Pelodiscus sinensis: one gene and its partners. The protein of the gene in region 3 purifies or fractionates together with the protein of the main gene of each other region. This does not show direct contact. Links are inferred from orthologs where the notes say so. Each region holds a gene or a part of one and is shown on either strand. Other genes may lie near its edges. The genes, in order: CCDC85C, PPP1R12A, PPP1CB and YLPM1.

Region 1 (6,884 bases), on a different chromosome or scaffold from region 3:
CAAGGAAATTCAGACCACGGCAAGTTAGGATAATACACTTGAGGCATTCAACACTCATCAGTCCAATCCTGAAGTCCCACTCACATTCTCTATGTCACTGAGGCTTGCCCATAGAACACCAGGACCTTCCCATGCCCTCTGCTCTTTCCTCAACTCCTAAAACCTCTTCAGTCGCAAGATACAGTTACTTAGGGTGTCGTGGCAGAGTTGCTATCTGCCCCATCGTGCAGTTCTCCCATTGGAGGGGACGATCTATCCTACGGCTATCCCTTTGTAAGTGTAACATGCTCACATTTGGAATAGCACAAGCTGACAGTATCAAAACCAAATCACTCTGTGACTTTTCACTCTGTCCTTGATGTTACAAGCTGGTGGTACAGAGAGATCAGTTTCTAAGGTCACTGAAGGAGAATGCTGTAGTTCATACTCCATTTACCAAAGAACATTCCCGTCTGATTTGAATATTGTGGTGCAAAGTGGCTTGAAGAAGCTGAAACTCTAGCAGTTGTGCATGAGCCCAGTTTGTGTCCTGTTGTGATCTGCTTATCTGAATTGCAACCTTTAGAAATTCTTCCGATCAAATTTGACATACTTTAACCCACAAGTCTGGATTTTAGGGATATTTTGGGGATATTATTTTAAAGCCATCTTAGTATAGACTCTACTGGGAACTGTGCTTGCATAAGAGTAATAGGATGAGGCCTGTCATTTCATATGGGGATTTCTCCAATTGTCATCACATATTTGTAGAAAGTATAAGGATGGTTTCAGTTATAGTATGATCGCTGACCCGCAAACAACTCTTCTGACTGTTTCAGAAAATGAAAGGGGGGAGCAAAGAGTTAAGCTAGTTCCCCTACATTGAACACTCTCTTTAGCTAGTAGGCATTGCTCAACTTCACACAGTCTGCCAGTGAAAGCCTCACGGAGTTAACAGGTGATGCTTTTATCCATTATCTGGCAGATGAAGACTGTATCCAAAATCCCAACTATGCTTTTTATCAAGCTCATCAAACTATCAGGCAAGCAGCAAAGATAAAACAAAACATTAAAAGGGAAAAAATCAATGTTTAATTAATTCAGAAAACACGGTCAATTTGCCTGCCAGACTTAAAAATAAAAAATAAAACATCATCCCACAGCCCTCACCATTAATAATGCATCTGATGAGCATTTAACAATAGTGTAACTACATCAGAACAGCTCCACTTTGAACTAGTTCTCAGATTAAGAGACGTAATAAAGCCATAGACAGACACATAGGGTGTATTTCATATTTTCAAGAAGATTGCCTGATTCTTATCATACTATTACTACTCCTCATAATAAATGATTACATGCATTCCATTCCCATAGACTCTTCCAGCTGCATGCAGTGTCCAAAGGTCAATGCACTAAACTTCATAAAACCCCTTTGAGACAAGCATCACCATTGCACAGGTGACGAAATGGAAGCACAAAGTAGTTTAAGCAACTTACCCAAGTTCAGACAGGAAATCGGTGTCAGAGCCACAGAACTCATATCACCTGTCTAAGTCATGTGAATACTAGACAGAGCTTCCTCAAACAGAAGTAGAGTACAAGAGAGGGAACAGACTTACCATTGAGACCATTGGGGATACTCCTGTGGTGAAGAGGTGCAGACAAATCATCCATTGACCTCCTTATTGCTCCAGCCTTATTTTCGACAGGTTTGTGATGGTGGAGGTGATGATGATGATGATCTGGGCTCCCTGCACTGCCAGTGCTGGACGTGCTGCTTCCATCTCCCACATCCCTGGTGCCAGAGCTCCCATTCAAATTGGTCAAACTGGCCTGGCTGTCTATAGAGCTCCTAGAGCCAGCTCCATTTCTCTCTTCATCTAGCATGAGGACTATCTCCTTCAGCTCCATGTTCTCCCTCATGAGGGATTCCTGCTTTGCCTCTAGCTCCTTCAGCTTCTGTTGATACATCCCGACTTCTTTCCACATCACACTAGCCGTGTGCCTCCCAAACCTTTGCCATTCCCTGGACAGCTTTTTGCCTTTCTGCCGGTCATCATCCAAGAAGCAGCACAGCTCTCTCAATTCGTGATTATCGTCCTGTAATTTCTGATTCACCTCCTTCAGCCCCCTGATCTCGTGCAGATGAACCTGCAGCCTCCTGTTTACATCCTTCATTAAATTACCATGTTCCACCATTAAGTTCATTTTTTCATTTTCTACTTTCCTCAGTCTTTTCACCAGCTCTTCCTTGCTCCACCTCATCATCTCCTCTTCTGAAATTTTGCTCAGGTCTTCCTTAGACCCTTCCAGAGAATTTTTTGCCATATTTGAGTCTATATAGTGTTTCTTTTTAAATAAATAATAAAATAATAATAATAAACGGTGTTTTCTTAAACTAAAATTTACTGTAACATGTTGGTCAGAGGGGGAATTACAGTTCTTCAGAGACGATGGGACAAGGAAAAAATAGAATATTCACCTTGAATGATTTGCCCCCCATATCAAAAACCAACAGGTCAGGGAGGATCACATTCAAGGCTTTCGAATTTTTTTAATTAAGTCTCCAAAATGAAACAATCAACTTACCCCTAGGTGAACCCAACACTAAAGCGGAGGCTAATCAGCAACGGTCAGTCGTCTTGCATTTAGTCATTTCACTTGTTCCTCTACAAAAATCCCAAACCCTTCGATTTCCAATAAACAGTACAAATAAAATAATACAGGCACCATTCATTCCTCCGATGCACACCTAGCTTGCCTGATCCGATCCCTGCCCACAGCTGCCGAGCCGCAGCAAGGTAGCTATTTTTTTAAAAAAAGCCAATATGTGCAATAAAAACCCGTCCCTCCGGTTGTTTGTTTTGCGTTAATTCCGAGGCTGCTCTCCGGATGATGTCAATGCCTTTGGAAATTGCACGTAAATTTCATGACAAGAGGTGGGGAGCGAGGGAGCATTCCTCTAATGGCACAGTCATCAGAAAGCAGGAGCTCCGCGGCGGGGCTTGAACGGGTCCCACCTACTTCTGCGGGGGGGGGACAAGGAGGGGGGAGCTCTTTCCAGCCCTGTTCCACTGAGCAAGAGGCTTCCCCCACCTTCTCGCCCGGCTGCTGCCGAGCACAGACAGTTTTGCTCCAGGAGAGGCGGATTACAGAGGCAGAGACCTCCCCCCGAAGCCTGATTGGGTGTCAGGGGCTGGGGGCAGGGACCTTGCCATGCTCCAGTCTTTTCAGGTTGCATTTGCTTTGCGCCTCGGGTCAAGTTACTGGGGAGAAGTGGTGGCGCCCCCAGCCAATGGGAGGGCTGCAAAGCGCTTTCAAAAAGCAGGTACAATGGGCAAGGTAGGGCAGCGCTTCTCTTAAAGGGACCGCGCGTCTACACACACAGAGCCCTGGGAGCTGGCGTGCCCCGCGACCTGCCTCCGCCAGCGTTTCTCTCACTCTGACCCAGCCATGTGTCGCCGCCAGCCTGTGTCGGAAAGGCGCAGGCTGCTCTCGGGAGTACAGGGGAAGCGGAGTCGCGGCTGCCTTTTTGCATTTCTGCCACCGTCTCTTGCTCTCTCGGCAGCCCTGCTGGTGAATGGGGTTTGTGCGCGCATCGGGTTTGCTGCCTGGCTCCACGATGCGCTGTGAATGAGTATGGATTGGTTTCTGTTCGACCAGGACCCATTGGCCAAGGGTGTGGTGTGAGCACCTCTGCCCGTCCGCCATCTCAGGAAGGCAGGTGGGGGCTGTCGGGAGGGGAGGCGCCCTTTATTCCAGCAGCAGCGATTTCCCCACTTCTGGGGATAATTCCTTGTGTTGTGTTGCCTCAGTAACCATGGTGAGCAGGAAGCCTGGTGCTGACCCTGTGGGCACAAGCAGACAGTGTCACAGCAGCTGCAAAAACAACCAGTGGCTTTCCACTGGTCAGTCTGAACTGGCACCATGACAGCTGAGGTCCTCAGGTGGCTTTCTATCAAACTGTAGGGCTCTGAGACAGCAATGAGCAACCTAGGTTAGCGAGTGGGCTGCATGAGTGGCCCTCCAGTTCAATGGGCAGCAAGATTGTAAGGAAAAAACTACCTGTCTGGAAACCAGCAAAATCTGACAACCATACACCTGAGGAAAGGTAAACAAAATGTCTCGTGGGCCACATGTAGAACCCTGATGGGCTGTATGGGCCGCAGATTGCCCACCATTGCTCTGAGACATACACTGCACCTAATACTGTGATCTGCCTAGAGAGATAAATAACCAGAGAGAGCAAGAGGAAAGCAGCACCTCCTCAACTCCTGCCCACGGATAGCTGAGGCTATTCTACTTTCTGTAGGCCTCCTCTCATAGGCTATGTCTATACTGCAGGCTTTTTGCACAAGCAGGTGACTGAGAGAAGCAGCACTTTCCCTTTAAAAGCGCCACTTCTCTGTGGCTGGCGGTGTGGCCACCTGCTACTACTGCGGAGTCCTCCCAGCCATGCTCTAGATTGCTCAGGTAAATGGCATCCACTCTGGGAGAGTTGGCAACCTCTTTCCCACACAGCTTTGGCCCTCCCTCTCACCCCCCATACAGAGCAGCCACTTCCCCCCAGGGGGAAGGTACTGGTGCTGGGCTGCATAGGGCACCAGCACCAGTAGGAACAGTCCTGATATCCCTTCCCCTTTTATAGCCATTCACCTTCACAGGGATCCTTTCTCCATCCACAGCCTGTGGAGTGCTCAGCTACATGCAGAGCAAATTCATGTATAACCCCCACAATGCAGGATGTTGTCTGAGTCTCTGCCACACAGGCCACTCATAGGCTGTGTCTACACGACAAAGAAAAGTCGGAAAAAGATACGTAAATTGTAAACCGCTTTTCTTCCGACAGAGGCTTTTCAGACTTTTAGCCCATCTACACGGGGCCAAATGTCGGGAAAAACCCATTTTTCAGAATATCCCTTTTTCCTCATAAAACGAAGTTTACAGAGATGCAGAAAAAATGCACTTGCTTTTCCGAAAAGAAAATGAGAATGAGAAACAACACATGAACTAGGTACATGCATTGAGTACAGTGATCAGCACAGGGCGCAGGCTTGCTGTAGGGAGAAGGTTGACTCCATGTGCCTAGAGAAAGGGTGGACAGTAGGAGAGATGTAAACCCCAGGAATGCAGGAGTAAAGGGCCTGAATAGGGAGCTGCAGAATTTATCATTGGACTATGTTGATTGAAGGGCTGCTGAATAAATCTAGGAAGTGGATTGGCAGCGGTTGGCAACATTTGGCAAGCAGCCCATGATTAGAGTAATCCACTGGCGGGCCACAAGACATTTTGTTTACATTCACCATCCACAGGCACATCCCCCTGCAGCTCCCAGTGGCTATGGTTTGCCAGCAGATTACACCAAAGGTTGTTGGCCTCTCGTTTTATATTCGCATAGTGCCAACCAAGTGCTAGGCATTTTGGTAATGGTTGGAGGATCTCTCATGAAGGTTATGTGATAATAAGTAAGGGTATGTCTACACTACCCCGCTAGTTCGAACTAGCGGGGGTAATGTAGTCATCCGCACTTGCAAATGAAGCCCGGGATTTGAATTTCCCGGGCTTCATTTGCGTGAAGCCGGCCGGCGCCATTTTTAAATGCCGGCTAGTTCGGACTCCGTGCTGCGCGGCTACATGCGGCACGGACTAGCTAGTTCAGATTAGGCTTCCTAATCCTCATTCCACAGGAGCTGCCGGACAAGGGAGGTCCAACCTATACAGTGATTTGTTTTGTTACATCACTGGGTTTCATCATATCTCCAGCATCCAAGCATTTCCTGGGGCAAGCCCTTTATTTACATCCTCTCTTATAGGAAATAAAAAGGGCTCGTCCCAAGCTAGCTCAGCTTCGTGGTTTCAGGAGTGATCCATCTTCTTTTGCAGAATTACCTTTAATTTGCTGGGAGGGAAAGAAGGAAGGAAGGGTGAAGGCAGAGGAAGTTGTTCATAGATGTCATTCCACAACATCACTGGGAGGAGAAGGCAGTGATGATTGTGCAATGGGGTGCAAGATCAAATGGATGCAGCTAGACCGGGCAGCATGTTACCAGGGCTGCCCTTGATTTGCAGCACAGAAATTAACTTTGTGCCGTCAGAGTTGACCTTGTTTCCCAGAGAAGCTGTTTTTTTCTGGATTGTTTCTTCCAGAGGAAACTGGATGAATCTGCTCTATAGTTGGCTTTACAAAGAATTATCTTACTGGACAAAAGAACTCTGTGTGGGGAAGTATTCATATATATTAGCATAGGCTGAGAAAATAGATCATTGTTTAATGCTTAGTATATAAGGATACAGACATCCAGTAGCAGCAAATAGACATGAATGACCTGTATTTGGTGTGGAGGGCTCTCACTGATCTAAATATGAGTACTGCAGTGCTTTTTAAATAGACAAAAGTATTGTCAGCTTGGGAAGATGATGAGGGAGGGTGTTATCTAGTTAGTATTGAGAGCTAAGAGTGCTCCTGCCTCTGTTCCCAGTTTTGTCACTGATTCTTAATCATGTTGGGCATGTCACAATCTCTCTCTGCCTCTGCTTACCCATGTTTAGAGTGGCTCTGATGGATGTTGTGAGGCATGTCTGCAATGCTCTGAGAGGTTTTTGGAGGGAAGTGACTACATCAGTGTAAGGTATTATTATCAACAGTAACTATTAAGGTATTCAAATAAGTTTATTGCTTTTATCCCAACAAACAATAAACATCCTGGGATATTTTTTGAAGGGCTTGTGCTTTCTACAGCCAGCTAACAAAGCCAGTTCCCATATGTGGTTCAGATAGAATTATGATTCTGCTAGGTCAATTTCCATTGGAAGATAAGAGTTCATAAACAACACACCAAACATTTGGTTTGTTTCATTTGGCTGCTGGACCAGCCGCGAGTTGTGAATGAAAAGTCATTCTA
Region 2 (7,368 bases), on a different chromosome or scaffold from region 3:
GGGGCTGGCTGGGGGAGATTGGGGGGAGCGGCCTACGGGAAGCAGAGCTGGTTGGAGGGGGGAGGGTGGAGCGGGGCTGGTCGGGGGAGCTTAGGAGGAGGATGGGAGAACTGGCCACTGGAAGTAGCACTGGCAGGGGTGCAGAGGGCTGGCCAGGGAAGATCAGGAGGAAGAACCGGACGGTGGGAAGTAGAGCTAGTGGGGGGGGTTGGATACAGCGGGGCGGGCCGGGGGAGATCGGGAGAGGAAGGGAGAACTGGCCGCCGGAAGCAGGGCCGGTGGGTGCAGCAGGGTTGGCCAGGGAAGATCGGGAGGAGAAGTAGGGGAGAACCAACTGGCCAGCCAGGAGCAGGGGCGGGGAGAGGGGGGAAGAGCGTATCATTTGCCATTTTGTTGCCCAAGCAATGAGTTTGGTGAGAGCTTTTTGAAGCTCTTCACAGTCTGCTTTGGTCTTAGCTATCTTGAGCAGTTTAGTATCATCAGCAAATTTTGCCACCTCACTGTCTACCCCTTTCTTCAGATCATTTATTAATAGGTTGATTTGGATTGCTTCCAGTACAGATCGTTGGGGAACATCATTCTGAAAATTTACCATTTATTCCTGTCCTTTGTTTCCTATCTTTTAACCAGTTATCAATCCATGAGAGGACTTATATATGGCCCTCCCAAATTCATGGTCTATTTTGGTCAATTTCAATGCCATAGGATTTTGATAAATGTAAAAGTCATGATTTCAGCTACTTAAATCTGAAATTTCATGGTGTTGTAATTTTAATGTTTTTAACCCAGAAAGGAGTTTTGTGTGTGTGTGTGTGGTAAGGAGGGGTCCAAGATTATTAGCGGGTGTGTTGCAATACTGTTACCCTTTATTTTGCACTGCTGCTGGCGGCAGTGCCGCCTTCAGAGCTGGACCCCACTGAAGAGTAGGGATGTACAATCCTGGTTAATCAGTTAACTGGTTAAACCAGGGGTGGGGAACCTTTTTTGGGTTGGGGGCTGTTGACCCACAGAAAAATCAGTCAGGGACCACACACAAGTGAGAAGCAAAGTCAGAAGCCTCCTGACTGAGAAGCAAAGACACTCCCCACATTCCCCTTGAACAGCAGAGCCTAAGGGGGCCCTAGGCTAGTAGATTTTGTGTGCTCCAGCCCTGTGGGTGGCAGGGAAGCTGGAGCACCACCGTGGGCTCCCCAATGCTGAACCTCGGGGACCAGATTCAGGCAAGCCAAGGGCCACATCCAGCACCTGGGCCTGAGGTTCCCCTTCCCCACCACCATTAAACATCAGTTAACTAAGTGGGATCCAGACAGGGGACCACTCCAGCCTAGCTGGAGCAGTCCCACTCCCACAGTAGGGCTGCTGCTGCCTCCCCGCTCCCACCAGAGCAGCGCTTACCTGTGGTGGGCTGGCCTCTCTGCAGAGAGAGGCTGCTCTGGACACCAGCACAGCCCCTGCCTACAGGGTGCTCAGGACACCAGGCAGGGGCTGCTCCCAAAAAGCGTAGTACCTGTCTGCAGTGGGCTCTCTGAGTTACTCATGCCACAACCAGTTAAGCTTTCACATCCCTATTCGAGAGTGACAGCTCCTCACTGGGAGCCCAGCTCTGAAAGATGAGCTACCAACGGTACCATGCAGAAGGAAGAATGGCAAGATACGGTATTACTACCCTTGCTGCTGTTGGCTGGGCATTGCCTTCAGAGGGCAGCACCTGGCCAATAGGTGCTTCTCTCTGCATGTCCAGCTCTGAAGGCAGCATAGAATGGTGGAAATACCACAAGCCCCCTAAAATAGCCTTGCAGGGTAAGCCCCCTAGAACGCCAGGCACAAGGTCTGAGGCAACGCCCCCACCAGCTCCACCTTGCACCTGCTCTGCTTCCTGCTGCTGTGGAGAACCCAACTGTAGCAGGTTGGGAGAGACCAGCACAGTGGAGCAGGCTACCATGCCACTCTGGCCCCTCCATCTGCACAGTGGGCATGTGTGTGGGGGCGACCACTGCTGCTGTCCTGAACCAAGCTCTGTAATGCTCCAGGTCCCTCCTGTCTATAGAATGGTTGGGATGGCTACAGGGGTTTGGGGTTGGCAGGCTCCCAAAAGCACGTAACCTTGCAACCCTCCTGCTGCAACTCTCTTTTGGTCATGACCTCCTATTTGAGAAGCAGTGGTCTCCCCCATGAAACTTGTATGGTAGAGGTAAACACTAGGGCTACATCTACATTGGCATGATCTTGTGCAAATACTCTTTGACGCAAAAGCATCTGTGCCAGCTTAGACGCTCTCTTGCGCAAGAACGCTCCGATGGCCATTTTAGCCATCAGGCTTTCTTGCGCAAGAAATTCATGTTGCCTGTCTACACTGGCCTCTTGCGCAAGAAAAGTTGCGCAAGACGGCTTATTCCTGAGCGAAAGCATCATAGTTCTTGTGCAAGAAGCACTGACTTAATACATTAGAACGTCAGTGTTCTTGAGCCAGAACTCGCAGCCAATGTAAACAGGCAGCAAGTTTTTGCGCAAAAGCACATGCTTTTGCGCAAAATCATGCCAATGTAGACAGAGCCTAGGGCTATATCTACATTCAAGGCTTCTTGCGCAAGAACATCTTGCGCAAGGGTTCTTGTGCAAGAAGTCTTGCACAAGAAAACGTCCACACTGCCATGTGCGAGCTGTGCTTTTGCGCAAGAGCGCCCATGGCAGCGTGGACGCTCTCTTGCACAAGAAAGCTCTCGTGGCCATTTAGCCATAGGGCTTTCTTGCGCAAGAAATCCCTGCAGAGTGTCCACACCGCCCTCTTGCGCAAGAGGCCCTCTCTTACTATGCCATACTGTAAATTTCCTTGGGCAAGAGCAGGTGGCCCGTGTGGACACTCTGCGGATTCTTGTGCAAGAATTGCCATACTTGCGCAAGAAGCCGTGAGTGTAGATACAGCCATACACACAAAGAAATTTCATGGATGGAGACCACATTTAATGGTCAGTGATGTGTTTTTCATGGCTGTGTATTCAGTAGGGTCCTATTGATATGACAGAGAAGAGAATAAAACCTATTGGGCTGATGGCACTTCACTACTAATGTTTTGTATGACGAAGCTTATGTCCAAATAAATGTTAGTCTTTATTTAAGGTGCCACAGGACTCCTCATTTTTTTGGATATAGGCTAACACAGCTACCCCTCTGATACTTGTCTTAATGTAAATTCTTCTTGCCTAATATTACTTGGACACATCAATCACCAGAAAATAAGTTTGATCAGACTGAATAGCAGCTGGAAAGAAAAGGAGCCTAATAAGGAAAGGGGTGAATAACCTTGCAGTATTTGAAGTGTTTGAGGTTTTGTGAATGGCTCACACTATAGTTTCTTATAAATGCAAATTCAAACTCCTCTCTAAGCCCATATATTCCCCCAAGGGAGAATTACTTGAGGACAGCATAGCTAAAGAATAGAGCCCACTTTATGGAGGGCACAGGGTGAAGAACCCAAGGCGAGGCTGCTGTAAATAACGCAAGCACGCTGCTTTGCACGCTTTGCTCTCCCAACTTGGGATGTTACATTTTGACTAATTAACTAATCAAATAGGTGATGGGATTTTCATTGACTATTTGATTAGTCCATAAGGATTAGTGGGGCCTTCCTTATGGACCCCCAGCAGGGAGTCCCTCTGACCCCAGGCTTCATGCCAGCACTTCCGCTTTGAAATGTGCAAGTTCCCACTAGGGCTCTTGTACATTTCAAAGCTGGAACTCAGCTGCTGAACCCTTGCCCCTCCCATGGAGCTGGAGGGAACCTGCTTTTAAGCCAGCCCCCAGCCCACCCCCCCTCAGCACTCCCTCCTCTTCCCCCCTTGCTGCCTCTTTGTGACAGCAGCAGCAAAGGGGGAGCGACTAGTCGATGGACTAGCCGATGAGCTTTCGCTTATATCCAATAATCTACTACCCCAACCCCGACTCCCTACCTTCCCCGAGCGCTCGCGCACGTTGGCCCTGCGCGCCGGGCTCCCCTCACCCTACTCCCGCCTGGGAAGCCCGAGCCCTTCCCCCTGAACTGCTCACCCCGCCCGCGCGCCTCTCTCAACTGCCTTCGGCTACCGCCTACCACAAGGCCCCGCCCAGCAGCTTCCTCCTTAGGCGCGCGCTCTGCGTCACCCACGGTGCTCCCCTTCAGGGTCCCTGTGCCCCTCCGAATGTCACCACCCTCTGGCTACCGCCGCTGTTCTATCGCGGACCGGCCTCTTCCGCCCCCTCCCCTGCGCTCAGTCAGAGCCTCGCCTATAGCCCCTCTGATCTGACACACCAGCCATCCAAGTCCCGCCCCTTCAGGAATCTCGCGATATTATGCTAAAGTGCCGGGCGCCGCGCCCCCTCTCCGGCTCTTTCCCTCTGGGCGGGTGAGCAAGTGCGGCGGTGGCGGCGGCCGGGTCGGCCGCGGTGTTCTGTGGGATAGTGGTGGATAGAGGCTCTCCTCGGTGCGGAGCGCTAGGGCCGGGCAGGAGCGGGGCATGAAGATGGCGGACGCCAAGCAGAAGCGGAACGAGCAGCTGAAGCGCTGGATCGGCTCCGAGACCGACCTGGAGCCGCCCGTGGTCAAGCGCAAAAAGACCAAGGTGAAGTTCGATGACGGCGCCGTCTTCCTGGCTGCCTGCTCCAGCGGGGACACGGACGAGGTGCTGCGGCTGCTGGAGCGGGGCGCCGACATCAACTACGCCAATGTGGACGGGCTCACCGCCTTGCACCAGGTCGGCCTCAGCGAGGGGGAGCCGGGGCTGGGCCTGGCCGCGCGGCACCGGGGCAGGGAGCGGCTCTGGCGGGCTGGGCGGGGGTGGGAGCGGGCTCGGTGCTTGTGGTCCAGCACGGAGCGGAGGAAGGGGAAAGGTGCTTGGCTCCAGTTCTCCAGCGAGGGGTCTCCCCCAGGCTGCCGGCCCGGACAGATGCATCGGCCTTGTGGATGCTGCTCGTTCCTGCTAAACCCTGGGATCGGCCCCTCTCTGGATGCTGGAGACTGAGCCCTTTCCTCTGCCCGGCTGGGGGGATTCGGGGTCCTTCTTGTTTCTTTCCCCCAGAGATAGTGCTGGTGGGACCCCCTGTCCGTGGCGAGCATTGGGGGTGTCCCTGGTAAAGCGGGGTTCTCCGAGGCCCTATCCGCTGTGAGTCCGGGCAGGAGAAATGCTGCTCGGGAGCGGGGAAGGTGACAGGAAGACCCTGGAAAGGGGAGATGTTAGCAGGTGGGGGTGATGGGGTGAGAAACGCGGTCACTCCATGTTTGCTGTTAACATCGCCAACATTTCTGTCGCTCCGATCCCTCCAATTTTTCTGCTGTTTAAAGGATGAAATCTGCTGATTATGAAGGCGGATCATTTCTCTCTGATTTCTAGGCGGGAATTAATGTTTTGTTGTTAATATAGTAACGTCTATCAATAAGAGACAGGCTTCTTTCTTTACTGGTGGTTTCTACCGCAGTGTGAAAGCCCCACTCTTAGGTTAGCAGTGTTTTTACAGTGTATATTTCCTGCGGTGGGAGGCTGTAAGAAGGGGCAGGTTTGTATATGTTTTTGAACTCACTTCGAACTTTCATTGAGGGTGGGGGAATGGAAAGTGGCCGTGAAATTTCTCAAAATGGATGCTTTGTACATGTTAAAGTTTTATAGCAATCTCATTGGAATCTCAAAATGTTAGCCAAATAAGGAAAGGCAGTGGTAATCCAGTGATAATGTGGGTTTGCCTGAATAGTTTTTGTTTCTTCAGCAAACCAAAAGCCATAGCAGCATATTAAATTCATTGAACATCAAAAAAGCAAGAATAATCTCTTTGATAGATGCAATTTTCAAAATAAAAAAATGAATCTCAGTAGTTTTGGAAAGATTTGGTAATTATGAGCTCTAGTTTGATCAGGTACAGATCTTTTCAAAATAATTCAATGAGGAAATTCAGAGCAGTGTTTGTTCTTTCTAAACAGAAGCTGGTGACTTTAGTGTGCAGTAAACTCCTTCATAATGAAATAAGTATGAGGAATGCCTCATTATTTATTGTAATAGAAAACAGTAAATGGATTGCTGAGACCTTTTATGCTTTTAACTGATTTTATACTTTTACTGTAATGCAATGTGTATCTAATAACTTTACTGTTTCCTGTACAAAAGTTGTCACCTGCCCTTTCACTAAATTAATAGTCTTGATAGAATTGGTATGCTTCCTACTGACAAAAAATAAAAACAAGAATGAACATGACCAGTTATGGGATAATCATTATGTTTGTGTTATGGTAACATGGTGATACACTCCTTAATTTCAGTGTATATTGTAATACTGTATATGGCAAATTTAATATACTGTAGCTTCATTTAATCAATCTGGAAATTCATAGTCTAAAGACGTACCTTACTTACAGACACCATACTTTCTGTGGTTAGATGTTAATATGTAAAAAGACTTTCAGGTACTTTTAATACTGAGAACAAAAGGACAAAGTCTTGGTTTTAATGAAGATTGGTAAAACAACAAAGTAAAGAATAAGCTTTCTCTGTTTTGACAAGTCTGAGAAGCCTTTTTAAAAACCAAATGAGAGGAGTTTTTGCCAACTTTATGGTACTGTAGTGCAACATTTTTACAACTAATGTCATCTGTACCTCCATGCTGTCAGATGTTTGCTCCACCTCAATGTGCAAGCTGACCGCAGAGCGGAAGATCAAGTTAGCTGCAGATTTTTTTTCTTAGAGTTATGCTAAAGTAGTCATTACTCTAGTGTCACTGCTATGATAGGACTAAAAATGTTTTTTTGAGGCGTTAATCAACAAAAGTTGAAAAGCAAATTGGGAAATTTCACTGTGAAATGATTGTTTTATTAAGGTAGCTTAGTAAATGATTGTATGTTTACCCCAGTCCTCTCAGGAAATGTATTGTTTGTAGTGCCCCTTTAATCAACATAGTCTCTAGTTTACCCACACTTCTCTATCATACACTTGTGACAAAATAGAAAATGCTGGACACCTACTCAAAAATGAGAATTGCTGTGATAAGTAGGAAACATCTCAAAACTTTAACACTTTGCTACTGTTGTGATTTCAGTAATGTTGAAAGCCCTATTGTACCTAGGATTTCCTATCACTTCCATAATTTTTAAGCACTAGATCAGTCAATTTAGATCTGACTATCCTTGTGAAATAATTACCTGTAGGATGTGTAAAAGGTAGTGATTTATGCTCATTTTTGGATCTCTTTCTTGTCCCCCATAGTCATCTATTTCTTTTTCACATTAGCTGTGTTCTCCTGTCTTGAGTGATTCACAAATTATGTTTTAGTGCACTAAAGCAGGAGCATAAATGACTTTTCTTTTGGTAATATTTTCACTTAGATATATATACGGCAGTATAGGAAAAAGGG
Region 3 (7,030 bases):
GTTAAACTCAGTGGGAGGTAAGTGAAGAAATATCTGTTTGTCAAGACACAGATTTTCCTTAATTTTTTTACACTCAAGTTAAACAAAAAGTTTAAAAATCTCTAAGATTTTGATTTACAAAGTTTAAAAAAGTTGTACACAGACTTGCACAAATTTGACCTGTTAAGTCTAAAATTTGCCTTTATCACACATTTTAATATTGTGAAAAGATCTTTAAGCACCAATTTCCCAAACAGTCTCAACTGTGAATCTAAGTAACCAACAAGGTGGAAGTGATCTGAGGTGCCATAGGACTCCTTTTTTTTTTTGGAGCAGATACAGACTCTTTCAGCTACACCCTCAAAACATTATTTTATCAACTATTTTAATATGGATATGCACATCAGAAAAGTTACACAAGTTATTGTCTTAGCAAACAAACACTAAGATATATGTTGGAGGCTAGGCCTGCCCTTTTAATAGCAACTTTAAAAAATAACTCTTGCTTGGGTCTATAACTCAGTATTTGTCTTTTGTAAAACGGAATGAAAAACAAACATACTGCATTTAAATCATTGCTCTGGGGTAGGGCTGTGGATGAGGAGTTCAGTATGCAGGCTGGCCTGGACTACTCCATCCCCCTCTCAGGGTGGCAGCAGCTTGGGGCCAGACAAGAAGCACCTCATGCAGCTCCAGTGGGCACAGCCAGGGGAGGTTGCATGTCTACCAGCTGGAGCAGATTCAGGTTCATCTGTCCCCTGTACTCCCCAGACAAAGTGAGGAATGCATAAACTATGCACTTTCCCCTCACTTCTTAATAAAGAGCAACAGCCAGCAATGTCCCCATATGAATTGAGGGGGGAGATTCACCTCCCCATCCTACCTAAAGGGCACCTGGGGAGTAGGAGGCTAGAGGCAGCCAGCCCCTTTCACTTATCTGGTAACTCTGCCTCTTTTCTGCACTGTTTTATGAGAAGCACTCCCAGTCTAGGCACATCCAAACCCTTACGTTGCTTTGAGTTATGATAAGAGGAAGAAGCTGTATACCAAATTTGGTAGTCCTAACTCTTACCATTTAGGAGGAGTTCTTGAACAGACAACTCTCTCAGATATATAGTAGATAGATTTAATCTTATTAAAACATAGTAAAAAGTGCTGCTCCAGACAAAGATTTGAGCCAAATTATTTTACAGGCACCCCCCCCCCCTAAAAATTGAGCTTATAGTAAAAAGTGAATGATAACTAGTCCCATTTGTGACTATCTGTAACAATAATAAAAAACAAGACAAAATTCATTGGTAAAAGTGTCGTGTTTAAACTTGCTAGCAATGTTTCAAGCTTCAAGTCACTCAGAAATGAACTCTAACCTAATGCTGAATTATCTATCTACACTGACCGATAAATACAGGTACTTGCAAGTTCTCTCACTACACTGGATACTTTAAATACAGACATACTAACAAAGAATACAAAGTGTAAGATTTATCATTTCATTAAGAGTTGCTTATTTTATATTCAATGACATTCTAGTGAAGCACCATTTCACTTTTAGCAAGATGAAGGAATGACTACAAAATGATGTTCACAAACCTGTGTGTCATGTTAGGTTATCAAGTAGTTAAATAAGATACCACCAAGAAGCCAACAGTTCGCACTCCTAAGCAAAATCTATATGGTAAGTCTCATTGGTAGCCTTTCAAATCCAGAAGTTACATACATTTTTAAAACTACAGACATGTTTTTTCCCCTCACCAGATATTTGTTGGGGGTCATCAAAAAGAAAATAAGACAAGATCATCCCTGTCCATGATCATCATCAAATGGATTTATAAGGATAGTAGTATAGCATCCTACTCCTTGGAAAACAGTCAGCTGTTTCGCATATTAACCCCCTCACTCATTCTTCTCCGCCTCTATAACCAACATTAGAAATAGCCCCATAGCTAGGCAGAAGAACTGCAGGAGACAAAAACCTTCCTGCATCTCCATACACACACCAAAAATGTCTATTTTTAAAACCATGAAAAACAGCTACCGGTCTGATAGGAAGGAGGGAGACCACTCACTAGCTAGGCTTTTCTAGCACACCCATCACTTGGGGAAGCTGTCCCGACCCTGGGCTTTAAACACATGCAGCACTGATATGGGGCAGGAACTCACTTTACACAGCCCCCCGCCTAATGCGGGCGCGCACGCGCGCTCAGGCACGCCCAGCCGCCTTCTGAATATGGGGCTTAAACGCATTAGCCTTTGATGTCTCCTCTAGTTTAACAGCGCACCGAGGGCTCAGTGCACTCAAAACAACTCCTACTTCTCCCCACTCTCTCAGCAGCAGCAATGTAGCACGCACGTACGTCTCCCCCCCCCCATCCGCGACAGAGCTTAGAGCACCTACTAGCGCGGGAGCGATCGCCTCCCAGACCTTCCTTCGCTGCCGCGCGCTCTCCCCACACCGGGCAAACTGGGCCCAACTTACTGCTTAGGCGCCGGGAGGGGGAGTGGGAGGGGCAGGGGGAGTGGGAGGGGGGAGTGAGTGAGTGAGTGTGAGTGAAGGGAAGGATCCCGCCTCGCCCCCTACCCACCCTTGTGTGCTAGCGCGGGATCCCGCCTCGCCCCTTGCTCTTCACTAGCCCCGCACCCCGTGTGTGTGCGCGTGCACGGGGGAGGGGGAGAGACCCCTAAACACCCTCCCCGGTGTGCGCGTGCCGGGGGGGGCTCGCTCACCTTCCAGCAGCCGGGTGATGAGACTATCCACATTCAGCTCCCCATCCGCCATTTTGTGGCCACCGGACTCAGTCCCGGGCGGGGAGAAGGCGGGGTGGAGAGCGCTTCACGGTCGAGGGGCGGCGGCTCGCCCCAGGAATCCCGCCGCGCTCTCTGCTCTGCTCCTCCCGCGCGGGCACCCGAAAGCGCCTCGCTCGGCCCCGCTCCGTTAAATGGGGGGGAGAGACCAACCCCCGCACCTCCTCCCCGCCTCAGAGACCGGACCGCCAGCAAACCACGACGCATGCGCCGCCACCTGGTTTCTTGCCGCGACCGCTTCGCTTCGCAACTTTAGCAAGGGCGCATGCGTGAGGGACTCCTCTAGGGCCAATGTTACAGACGGCGCAGGCGCAAGGGGTGTTCTTGCTGCACTTCAAGCCCTCCTGGAGGGGCGCATGCGCTTCAGATGATCTTCCTTTCGCCGCCCCCAGTAACCCATTGGGCCTAGCAGTGCTGCAAGCGCGGCCGAGCTAGTGTCAGGTGGGAGCAGGAGAGACGGTCCAGCCTGAGTGCAAAAGGGTGTCGGAGAAGCACGTCCCCGCGCGCAGGTGGAAACCTGCCAGACATCCCCCAGCCAAGCGTTCACAGCTGGAGCCCTCCAGCTGGACTCACACACCCTCCCGCCTGACTCCTGGGGAGGCTAACCAGAGCCCCCCGTCCCACTGCTAACGTGAGCCACTCTTGGGAGCTGATCACGTCTCACGTTCGTTGCTGTCAAAAATCACAATAGTTAAACAAGCTGCCCGCATTGAAAGACCAAGTTGCGCTCAGCAACTAATGCAACTCTCAGAAAAAAAACACTTATGTTTTTCTCATCCCGGACATATTTTTCAGCATTACTTATTGACCATTTTAAAGTATGCGGTTTTGCCATTAGGTGGCTATCTGAATGAACATAAAATGCTTTGAAAGCAGCTGTTAAAATATGCAGGAATAGGGCCAATATGTAAAACTGTAAAGCATAAAACATAGCTATTGCTGTGCAAACTGCAGCTATTCTAGAAAAATCAGGCCACTTAGATACCTAAATATAGATGAAGATTTGGATTTTTGGCTCTAGGAACTGTCGAGGTCTATAACAGACCATGTCATTTTACATGATTTTCAAATACTCATGTTCATATACCAATCAAGGAAAAACTAGTATGAACAGTAACCACCTAACCTCAAGATGATTCTTACCAACCACCACAGGACATACCACACTAATACCAACCCTGGTACCTTCCCTTGCAACAAACCCCGTTGCCAGCTTTGTCCACATATTCATTCTGCTGAAACCATTATTGGACCTAACCAAGTGAGTTATAAGATCAAGAACACATATTCCTGCGCATCCAGAAATATAATCTATGCTATCATGTGCCGAAAGTGTCCGTCTGCTATGTACATTGGACAAACATCTCAGACACTTCGCCAAAGGATTAATGCCCACAAAACAGATATCAGACAAGATCACAAAGAGAAAACAGTTTCTTGCCACTTTAACCAGAAAGGACACTCTCTAAATGACTTAGCCACCTGCATTCTGCTACAAAGACCTTTTACATCTGCACTTGAAAGGGAATCCTCTGAACTGTCATTCATGTTAAAATTCGACACTTGCCAACAAGGACTTAACAAGACTTTGAACTTTCTCACCCATTACCAAGACAGTTTCCCCAATTATCACCTGTAATACCATTAACTCACAAACATCCCACTCTCCCTACCTTTAATATCAGCAATTCACAGACACTTACCTTCCTTTCTCCCCCTTCCCACCCCCCCGCATCCCCCTTCTGTTCTGCAATGTGATTTGTCCTTTTCATATTTGTTCATTTTTTTAAATTGTATCCTTTGGTATATATGGTTGTGACTACTTTCTTCCACTATTTGATCTGAGGAAGTGGGTCTGGCCCACGAAAGCTCATCATCTAATAAACCATCTTGTTAGTCTTTAAAGTGCTACATTGTCCTGCATTTAGTATGAACACAGCTTTAAAAGTCCTTGAGTGATGCTATGAATATGTGCAAATATATATATTAGGGAACCCAACAACTAATGTAAGAAAGAGCTCTTTCAAAAAGTGCAGGGCAATGATAAAGTTTCACTGGATATACTGAAAGAAAAAAAGAAACCATAAAAGGACTCAAAATTTGACTTTATAGTCCCAGTTGAAGACAGCCACCAAAAATGTAATTTCAACTCATCTGCCAAAAGTTTATATGCATATATAAATTCCCTTATTTTTCAGTCTTTTCCATAAATAGAGAAGAGCTAAAATGACACGTGGAAATTTGTTTTGTCCAGCTAGAAAGAGGACTGACTTTCAGAACTGCCCAACATAGTACATATGCTACCTACCCATCCTGAATTTTAAAGCATCACCCAGCTACAGTGGACCAGGTCCATATTATTGAACTCACCTGAAAATCATCACAACATTTTACTGTGGCATGATGATGTTATACAGTGAAAGAATGTTGTATAACAGGATGGAATTGTGTAATGCTATTGTATAATAACTCAGATACATGGTTCCTGCCTTCAGCATCTTCACTATAAAAACTGTTCCAGAATCACTGTGATGTGGCCCAGTCCAGTAGGCATGCTGGATCAGTGCCTATTCAGAATCAGGCTGGAAGAGGAGGTAGTAGTATTATCTCTATTTCAACTATTAGCCTGATGAGTAGAACACTTACTTGGGAGGTCAGAGATCCAGGTTCATATTCCTCCCTTTGTCTGATGGGGACAAAACATTTGAACAGGGTTCTCCCACCTTTCAGGAAAGTGCTTTAATCACTGCACCATGGGATATTTTGATATGGAGCTCCCGCCATCTGTCCTATTAAATCTGTTCCACTTTGGTTAAATACTTAGGGGCTGTGTCTACAATGGCATCCCTTTCCGGAAAAGGGATGCTAATGAGACACTTCGGAATTGCAAATCCGCGGGGGATTTAAATATCCCCCGCGGCATTTGCATTTACATGGCTGCCGCTTTTTTCCAGCTCGGGGTTTTTGCCGGAGAAAAGCGCCAGTGTAGACGCGATTCTCCGGAAAATAAGCCCTTTTCCGGAAGATCCCTTATTCCTATTGAAAGTAGGAATAAGGGATCTTCCGGAAAAGGGCTTACCGTATATACTCGAGTATAAGTCGACCCGAATAAAAGCCGAGGCACCTAATTTTACCCCAAAAAACTGGGAAAAAGTATTGACTCGAGTATAAGCCTAGGGTAGGAAATGAGGCAGCTACTGGTAAATGTAAAAAATGAAGATAGATACCGGGTCTAGCCCCGGAAGTTGGGGCGAAAGCTGCTCCGGTGCCCCTGGTCTGCTGGAGACCGTCTCCAGCAGACCAGGGGCACCGGGCGGGTTCCCGCGCTTCTGAGGCTTTGCCAGAGCAAAGCCTCAGAGGCGCGGGACCCCCCGTGGCTGCGGCTTCAGTCCGGGAGCCTGTGGTCTGCTGGGGACGGTCCCCAGCAGACCACAGGCACCCAGATTGAAGCGGCAGCAGCGGCGGTTCCCCGCGCCTCTGAGGCTTTGCCAGAGGAACCGCCGCTGCTGCCGCTTCAATCTGGGTGCCTGTGGTCTGCTGGGGACCGTCCCCAGCAGACCACATGCTCCCGGACTGAAGCCGCAGCCACGGGGGGTCCCGCGCCTCTGAGGCTTTGCTCTGGCAAAGCCTCAGAAGCGCGGGAACCCGCCCGGTGCCCCATGTCTGCTGGAGACGGTCTCCAGCAGACCAGGGGCACCGGAGCAGCTTTCACCCCGACTTCCGGGGCTAGACCCGGCTAGCCCCGGCCAGCGGCAGAGACGCGCTGAGCCCGCCCGCCTCAGTTCTCGAGATGCTGACTCGAGTATAAGCTGAGGGGGGCATTTTTCAGCACAAAAACTGTGCTGAAAAACTCGGCTTATACTCGAATATATACGGTATTTTCCGGAGAATCGCGTCTACACTGGCGCTTTTCTCCGGCAAAAACCCCAAGCCGGAAAAAAGCGGCAGCCATGTAAATGCAAATGCCGCGGGGGATATTTAAATCCCCCGCGGATTTGCAATTCCGAAGTGTCTCATTAGCATCCCTTTTCCAGAAAGGGATGCCAATGTAGACACAGCCAGAGTGAATGGGCCTGAGAGACTGATTCTACAGTCTCATCAGAGGCTCAGGGTATGTCTACACAGCAAATCACATCCAGGCTCGTGATGAGTCCTGGGCCCTGAAGCCCTCACTGTGTTTCAGAATATGGCTCCCAGCCGAAGTCTGAACATTCGCACTGCCATTCCTGCTGCACATACCATGTATTTT
Region 4 (7,309 bases), on a different chromosome or scaffold from region 3:
TGTCTGTCAATCCCATTATAAAATTGCAGTTCGTAGACTCAATGAACACCACCACACAAGAGGTTAACTAATGTCTGTTAGGAAAGTACAAATTTTTAATAGCTATGCAAGTGCAAATATATGCTTTAAATGTATGCCAATTAAAAATGATCCCAAGGATTAATAAATACTAAATAATAATAAAATAATTAATTTACACATGTAACTTAACTAGGAATGCAAAATCCCATTTAACTGGTTGATCGATTAAATATATTGTTTAACCAGTTAACCGATTAAAGGGAAAGGGGTGAACAAGAGGAGTACGGCTCCAGCACAACTGGAGTGGACCCCCTTGCTCGCTACTGGGCTGATGCAGCCCCGCCATGCCGCAGGCAGAGGCTGCACTGACTAGGGCACCCCACAAGCAAGAGCTGCTCCAGCATCCCAGCTGGAGCAGTCCCTGCCTGCAGGGCACCCAGGCCTGCCACAGACAGAAGCTGCTCTGGTCGGGATGCCTGTCCAGGCAGAGCAGTCCCTGTCCACTGCAGGCTCTCTGTTGGGCTGAAGCAGCATGGCAGGAGAGCTGCTCTAGTTCTCACCAGTTAACCATCTCTGGTAAACCTCACCCATTGAGGCTGAGGCTTATTAGTTAACTGGTTTAACATTCACATCCCTCAAAGACAAAGATTAACACCCCTCCCCACCAATTTGGCTTTAACTCTGAACACAAGAGTCAAATTAAAAAAAAACCCAACCCCTTGTTAATTTTAAATTATAAAACTAAGTCAGCAAGTTTTTTTAAGAAGTGCACTTAGCCCCTGATCTACAACTGGATCTGTGCAGGCTGACCCTTGGGCTCATACAGAGCTTAATCAACTGCACATACAATCTAAGGCTCCAGGCACGTTATGATGTGCATTTTCAAAATTATGCAAGTGAATAATCTTTAACTCCATGGTATCCAACATGCTAGCCACCAGCCACATGTGGCTATTTGGCCGATTGAATGTGGCTAGTTTGCTATAGTGGCTACTGCTTCAGAAATGTGAACTTTTACAGATTTGGGGCCTGACTGCCCACCTACAGACATAAATGTTTTTAACAATAAAAAGTATATATTCTTCATAAACTTTTGAAAAGACTTTCCTCAAGTGTTTCATAAAAGTTCACCTTTAGGAAAAGATCAAGCCGGAACACATTTAGGCCAAATTCTGAAAACTGTACAAATAAGGCATCTAGGGCCTTTAACAGAAGTACTTTCGTAACCTTAACTACCGCAGGTGTGGCCAAGCAACAACTGTGGTACTGTTATATCTTTTCTGTTGGTAAACTGAAAAAAATTAAACTAATTAGGAAACAATCCTGCAATGTGCCTGCAGACTGCTGCATCAATATGGAATGCCCAAAGTATTCATTCAGTGGAGTTCCATGTAGTTCATCTGCACAACACAATTTGCAAGATCACAACTTTGAAACTCTGAAAAATCCACCAATCAGATAAGGTTCAGTCAAGGCTGAAATTTTATTCTTTATGCATCCCATTGTGGTTGGGATCTGCTGGCTCTTGAACCACAACACCTACAGGACACAAAACATACATTCAGTGGAAGTTTTATGAAATTTTAATCTTATTTGTATCGTTCCTGGCTTTTGTGAACTGAAATCAAATATTTTGTTTAATTTAAACATAATTCATTTATGGTATCTCTATTTTATCTATCTTTAGTTGAGCATCTTTACAACTCACAATATATCCATAAATTATCTGTTCCCATCTATCTTTTTCCAATCTGCAGCCACATTCTGCGGCAATGCTCACGTTGGGCACTTAGCTCTTACCTGAGGGGTCATAGTGGATGGGTCTGGTTGTTGAGTGCTGTGCTGATCAGAATTATCACCAGTATCCTTGGCAGCACTCTGCACTGTTTCTTGCTGGGCAGGAGTGGCAGGAGGTAAGGACGACTGGGATGCAGTAAAGTGAGTTTTAGACTTGGAAATGGATGGGGTCAAACTAGATTGCACTGGTTGGGAAGTGGACGATTGGGAAGGAGACAAGTAAGACTGAGAATGTGTCAGATAGGATTGGGAAGGGGGGAAATAGACCGGAGGGACTGATGGAGGGGGCTCCAAAAAGGATGGCGGGGGTGGCTGAGAAAGCTGAGAATGGGACAAATAAGACTGGGACGGAGAGGACTGGGAAGGTGGTGGCTGGGCCAGAGGGATATAGGGTTCAGAGTGGGCTGGAGGGATATAGGCCTGCGAAGGGGTCGGATAGGCCTGGTCAGCAGGTGCGGGCGACTGTGGTGGAGAAGACAGCTCCATGTCCATGGGCACTGGAGAAGAAGGCAGGTGCTCCCAGTCGCTCTGGGGCTGTGACGGCTGGAGAGGTTCATGCTCTCGGGGAAGTGGGGGCTTGCAGACTTGGGAGTCCCGGGGTGGGGGTGGCGGGGGCGGCTCCCGGTGCTTGAATTGCTTCTGGTAGCTACGGACGGGGGGTGGCACTGGCGGCGGCCAGTCGGTGAAGGAGCCGGGGAGAGGTGGAGGGGGCAGGCCCGGGGGTGGTGGCCCGGGCGGGGGACCCCCCAGAAGCACCGACTGCAGTTGCTTCTGGTGCATTTGCTGCAGTTGCTGCAGCTGAGCCAGGTGCTGCTCTTGCAGGCTAAGGAAGCCCGAGGCGCCAGGCGCGGGGGCCACGCCGGGCCCCGGGGGCGGGTAGTTGGGCGGCGGGACGGTGGGGGGCATCACGGGAGGGGGCACGGGCAGCGGCGGAGGCGGTATCGAGGTGGGGGGCGGCGGGTAGTGCCCCGCCGCCCCGTACATGCCCCAGGCCGGGTACATGGCGGGGCCGGGTCTGAGGCGGCAGTCCGAGCGGAGAGCGGAGCTTCCACAGGCCGCGGCGAACGTCGACAGCAGCGCGTGCGACACACGGCGCCTGCGTAGTGGGGCTCGTTTGGACCTCCAGGATAGAAGAGTGGCATGTAGAAAGCTAGAGTGCCTGCAGCCTGGACCATGGAGAGGGGCTCGCTGAAGTTAGAGCGCCACCCGCCGGACATCTAGGGCTATAGACTGGCCGGACGCTTGCGGAAAAACATGGGCCATAGAGAGGAGCACTGTCTGAAACTAGAGCGTCGCTGATACCGTGGTCTCTCCTGCTCTCATGTCGGCTTGGACAAAAGAGGGGAGAAAAGGGGAGCTAGAGCGCCGCTCAGAGAAAGGCTATCGGCCTCCATCTTGTTTTTGCGGTGGGCCGGAAGGAACATACTGGAGGCCTTCGGCTTCTGGGTCCTATTGCGACCAAGATCTCCACGTTCTCGCTACGCACAAGTTCAGTCACAAGCTGGGATGAAATTCTGGTACCAACCCCTCCTGCTCGCTACCCAAAGTCTGCGAGCTGCTCTGTCAGGCCTAGCGATTAGCAAATAATGACCGGCAAGGGCCACCTCTGGCAAGGGGAGCTGACGACCATAGGCAAAGCCTTGAACCCTTCGCTCCGTTACTATGGAGACAGCATTCAGTTTACAAGTACTGTGTTTGTTTAGCAGCGACAGGCTCTTCGCTTCAGTTTAGCAACCCCAACGCCATTGCCTGAGGACTCGGATTCGCTGAAAATTAACCTAAATTATAACTCGGGTGATGCCAGGATCGCCGTTAGAGATTTTTAGGGAGTCGGGAGAGGGGCAAGTTTAACGGATTCCATGGGCTAGACAGACACATGAACACTCTAGATTTTGATAGTAACTTAGAAATTATCTGACAGAAGCCCTGTATCTAATTTCTTTATAAAGAAAGAAAAATAAATATTAGATCTACTCAGCTCTAATACTAGTATGTTCTGTCATTTTTGTGTCAAGTCACTTAAACTGGTTAGGTCTAAAATTTTAATGTATATTCCTATTTTGTTGCTAACTCTTGAATACAGCAATTGAAACAATTGTAGAAAAATTGATTTCTTTCTATCACTCTTTTGCAGGTCAAGATTGGAATAGATCATATTAACTTTTGGAAACATCCTACTAGGGCAGCAAGGGGCAAACTATGTTAGTGAGTGGGCCACATGATTGTCGTAAACAAGTCAGTCTCCCGGGATGGAGTAGTTTTGCTAACTGTACCTAGAATTTGCAGGGTGTGCCAATTGAACTGTAGCAGCACTTTGATTAGATGCAGAGGGAGTGCAAGGCTCTCTCAATGTTCTGTGCAATTAACATGCACCTGGCTTCAAAGTAGGAATAAGAGCCTCCGGAAAAGGGCGCTTTTTCCGGAGGATCGGGGCCAGTGTAGACGCTCTTTTCCGGCTTTTCTAAAAGCCGGAAAAAAGCGGTGGACATTTTTATTTAAATGCCGCGGGGGATATTTAAATCCCCCACGGATTTCCCTACTACGATAGTTGAAATTAACATGCCCCTTCCGGAAAAGGGGCCAGTGTAGACGTAGCCAAGGATGTACACCAGAGACTTCTAAGATAACAGTTTGTAACATCTCTGCTACGAGCCTGCATCAAGAACTTGGTGATTGGAACATGTAATGTAGACTCCTTAACAACCTTTTCTTTTTTTTGTTAATAAACCTTTAGATGCTAAAGGATTGGCCCAGTGGGTAAGATCTAAAGAGTAAATCGACCAGGGATCTGTGGCTGGTTCTTTGGGACTGGGAGAAGCCGTTTGGGGTAGGTGAGATAGGGTTCTATAAACCCTCACCTGTGTGTAAGACCTGGGACTGATTGTAGCACAGGGAGAACTGGGGTGTCTGAGGGGTTTTGCTCATGAGGCTTCCTGCTGGATAGATTGGCAGCTGAAACACTCAATGTGACTGGTTTGTGGCCTCTTTGGGAAAGGTCTTCAATCTAGGGCTGTAAGCAGCCCTGGTTTTGAGCAATTCACTCTGAGCGGATGCCCTCAGCGGTGCCCAGACCCAACATGGTCCATCATAGGTGGTTCAGTGGATCAGAAGCTACTCTGAGAGATTTGGGAGTCTACTTTCCCCAGAGACATCCTGTATGACCTTAGGCTAGTTAGTACTTTGGGGACAGAGTTTCAAGATTTTTAGGCACCCAAAGATGCAGCTAGGCATTTAGTGGAGTTTTCAAAGCACCTAATTTCTAGATGCTTTTGAAAATCCCATGAGGTGCCTAAATACCTTTCAAAATCTGGCCTTTAGTCTTTCAGTGCTTCAGTATATTACCTGATCAATGGGTATAAAATAACATTTCTGCATTACCTTACTGAGGGGTTGTGTGGAGAAATAGGTTAGTGTGCAAGATTCAGATACTATGGTGATGGGGCCATAAAAGTACCACAGATAAATTTCTCTATACCATTGTTATCCCTTCCCTCGATTTTGGCCCCTTCTTTTCACTTACACCTCTCAAATCTCCCTCTTTTCTGAATGTAACTTTAGTTTAAAGGGCTTCTGAAATCCCTGCATTTTCTTTTAAAAAACCTGTCTTGCAGATTCCTGTTTTACAGGCTCACCTACGGGCTTATCTACACTGACAAATTACCGCACTGAAACTTTCTTGCTCAGGGTTATGAAAAATCACCCCCCTGAGCACAGCAAGTTTCAGTGCAGTAATTTGCCAGTGTAGACAGGCTCCCATTGCTGAGCCTGGCCTAAGGCAGAAATGTAAGAAAGTCTTGAAGACATGTTGCTATAATGTACTTTTGTCAGTGCTGTTTGGTGTTGGAGTGTGCAGGAGAATGTAATCAAACTAGTTTTGACAGGATGGCGGTCGGTTTCTAGTGGAGTGCCCCAAGGTTCGGTTCTAGGACCGGTTTTGTTCAATATCTTTATTAATGACCCGGATGAGGGGATGGATTGCACCCTCAGCAAGTTTGCAGATGACACTAAGCTGGGGGCAGAGGTAGATAGGCTTAAGGGCAGAGATAGGGTCCAGAATGACTTAGACAAATTGGAGGATTGGGCCACAAGAAATCTGATGAGGTTCAACAAGGACAAGTGTAGAGTCCTGCACTTGGGACGGAAGAATCCCAAGCATAGTTACAAGCTGGGGACCAACCGGTTAAGTAGTAGTTCTGCAGAAAAGGACCTGGGGCTTACAGTGGATGAGAAGCTAGATATGAGTCAACAGTGTGCCCTTGTAGCCAAGAAGGCTAATGGCATATTAGGTTGCATTAAGAGGAGCATTGCCAGCAGATCCAGAGATGTCATTATTCTCCTTTATTCGGCTTTGGTAAGGCTACATCTGGAGTATTGTGTCCAGTTCTGGGGCCCCCACTACAAAAAGGATGTGGACGCATTGGAGAGGGTCCAGCGGAGGGCAACCAAAATGATTAGGGGGCTGGAGCATATGACTTATGAGGAGAGGCTGAGGGACTTGGGTCTGTTTAGTCTGCAGAAGCGAAGAGTGAGGGGGGATTTGATAGCAGCCTTCAACTTCCTGAAGGGAGGTTCCAAAGAGGATGGAGAGAGGCTGTTCTCAGTAGTGACAGATGGCAGAACAAGGAGCAATGGTCTCAAGTTGTGGTGGGAGAGGTCCAGGTTGGATATTAGGAAAAACTATTTCACTAGGAGGGTGGTGAAGCACTGGAATGGGTTACCTAGGGAAGTAGTGGAGTCTCCATCCCTAGAGGTGTTTTAAGTCTCGGCTTGACAAAGCCCTCGCCGGGTTGATTTAGTTGGAATTGGTCCTACCTAGAGCATAGGGCTGGACTTGATGACCTTCTGAGGTCTCTTCCAGTTCTATGATTCTATGAAAATTAGACATGTGAAAGTTGGAAGGAAGATTGAGTGCTGCACAGGTGTTCAGTCTTGGATCTATTGGAGGCAGCAAGGAGGGGCAGGCAGGTCCACAGAGATGGCATGTGAGAAGAGCTGGCTTAAATGCTGCCTCCCCATGCACATTAGTTCCTGCTTGACATCCCCCTCCCCGCTGCTGCCTCTGATAGAGGCAATAGCACTGGGGAAGGGAAGAGCAGCTTGTGGGAAGTGATGCGGGTGGAGCTGGCTTAAAAGCCAGCATCACACATGCACCAGCTCCTGCCTGCCCCCTTTACCCTCTGTGCTGCAGCTCCTGCCGCAGAAGGTCTGTGGCGAGCTTGGGCCACCGCAGACAGAAACTGGTCCTCAGCAGCAGCCCCTGTCCATGGGGAGTCTGAGCTCTCCGAGGACAGGGGCTGCTATCGGAGCAGCCTCTGTTCACGGTGAGCCTGGGCTGCCGCGGACAGAGGCTGCTTCATGGCAGCCTCCTCCCCACCTCCTCCCAAAGCAGCTTCTATCCCCAGGGAGCTCGAAACCCCCATGGACAGAAGCTACTTCCACCCCACACTGCTGACCCCACACTGCTGCCTCTGATACAGAGGCAGCAATGTAG

The links.
Region 1: the proteins of PPP1CB (region 3) and CCDC85C purify together in Homo sapiens (affinity purification with mass spectrometry; 3 studies listed by BioGRID and IntAct, with this or other methods). This does not show direct contact. The link is inferred for Pelodiscus sinensis from reciprocal best matches to the Homo sapiens genes PPP1CB and CCDC85C.
Region 2: the proteins of PPP1CB (region 3) and PPP1R12A purify together in Homo sapiens (affinity purification with mass spectrometry; 6 studies listed by BioGRID and IntAct, with this or other methods). This does not show direct contact. The link is inferred for Pelodiscus sinensis from reciprocal best matches to the Homo sapiens genes PPP1CB and PPP1R12A.
Region 4: the proteins of PPP1CB (region 3) and YLPM1 purify together in Homo sapiens (affinity purification with mass spectrometry; 3 studies listed by BioGRID and IntAct, with this or other methods). This does not show direct contact. The link is inferred for Pelodiscus sinensis from reciprocal best matches to the Homo sapiens genes PPP1CB and YLPM1.

Annotation. Positions count from the first base shown.
Region 1 is NC_134714.1:24,767,903-24,774,786, reverse strand, and holds the start of CCDC85C (coiled-coil domain-containing protein 85C), read right to left. Parts: upstream 3,018-6,884; 5' UTR 2,311-3,017; coding exon 1,602-2,310; intron 1-1,601. UniProt on the Homo sapiens protein: May play a role in cell-cell adhesion and epithelium development through its interaction with proteins of the beta-catenin family. May play an important role in cortical development, especially in the maintenance of radial glia.
Region 2 is NC_134711.1:70,892,924-70,900,291, reverse strand, and holds the start of PPP1R12A (protein phosphatase 1 regulatory subunit 12A), read left to right. Parts: upstream 1-4,359; 5' UTR 4,360-4,490; coding exon 4,491-4,727; intron 4,728-7,368. UniProt on the Homo sapiens protein: Key regulator of protein phosphatase 1C (PPP1C). Mediates binding to myosin. As part of the PPP1C complex, involved in dephosphorylation of PLK1. Capable of inhibiting HIF1AN-dependent suppression of HIF1A activity.
Region 3 is NC_134713.1:160,760,390-160,767,419, forward strand, and holds the start of PPP1CB (serine/threonine-protein phosphatase PP1-beta catalytic subunit), read right to left. Parts: upstream 3,010-7,030; 5' UTR 2,756-3,009; coding exon 2,704-2,755; intron 2,399-2,703; exon of another isoform or gene 2,376-2,398; coding exon of another isoform or gene 2,375-2,375; intron 1-2,374. UniProt on the Homo sapiens protein: Protein phosphatase that associates with over 200 regulatory proteins to form highly specific holoenzymes which dephosphorylate hundreds of biological targets.
Region 4 is NC_134714.1:44,324,553-44,331,861, forward strand, and holds the start of YLPM1 (YLP motif-containing protein 1), read right to left. Parts: upstream 3,021-7,309; 5' UTR 2,821-3,020; coding exon 1,822-2,820; intron 1-1,821. UniProt on the Homo sapiens protein: Plays a role in the reduction of telomerase activity during differentiation of embryonic stem cells by binding to the core promoter of TERT and controlling its down-regulation.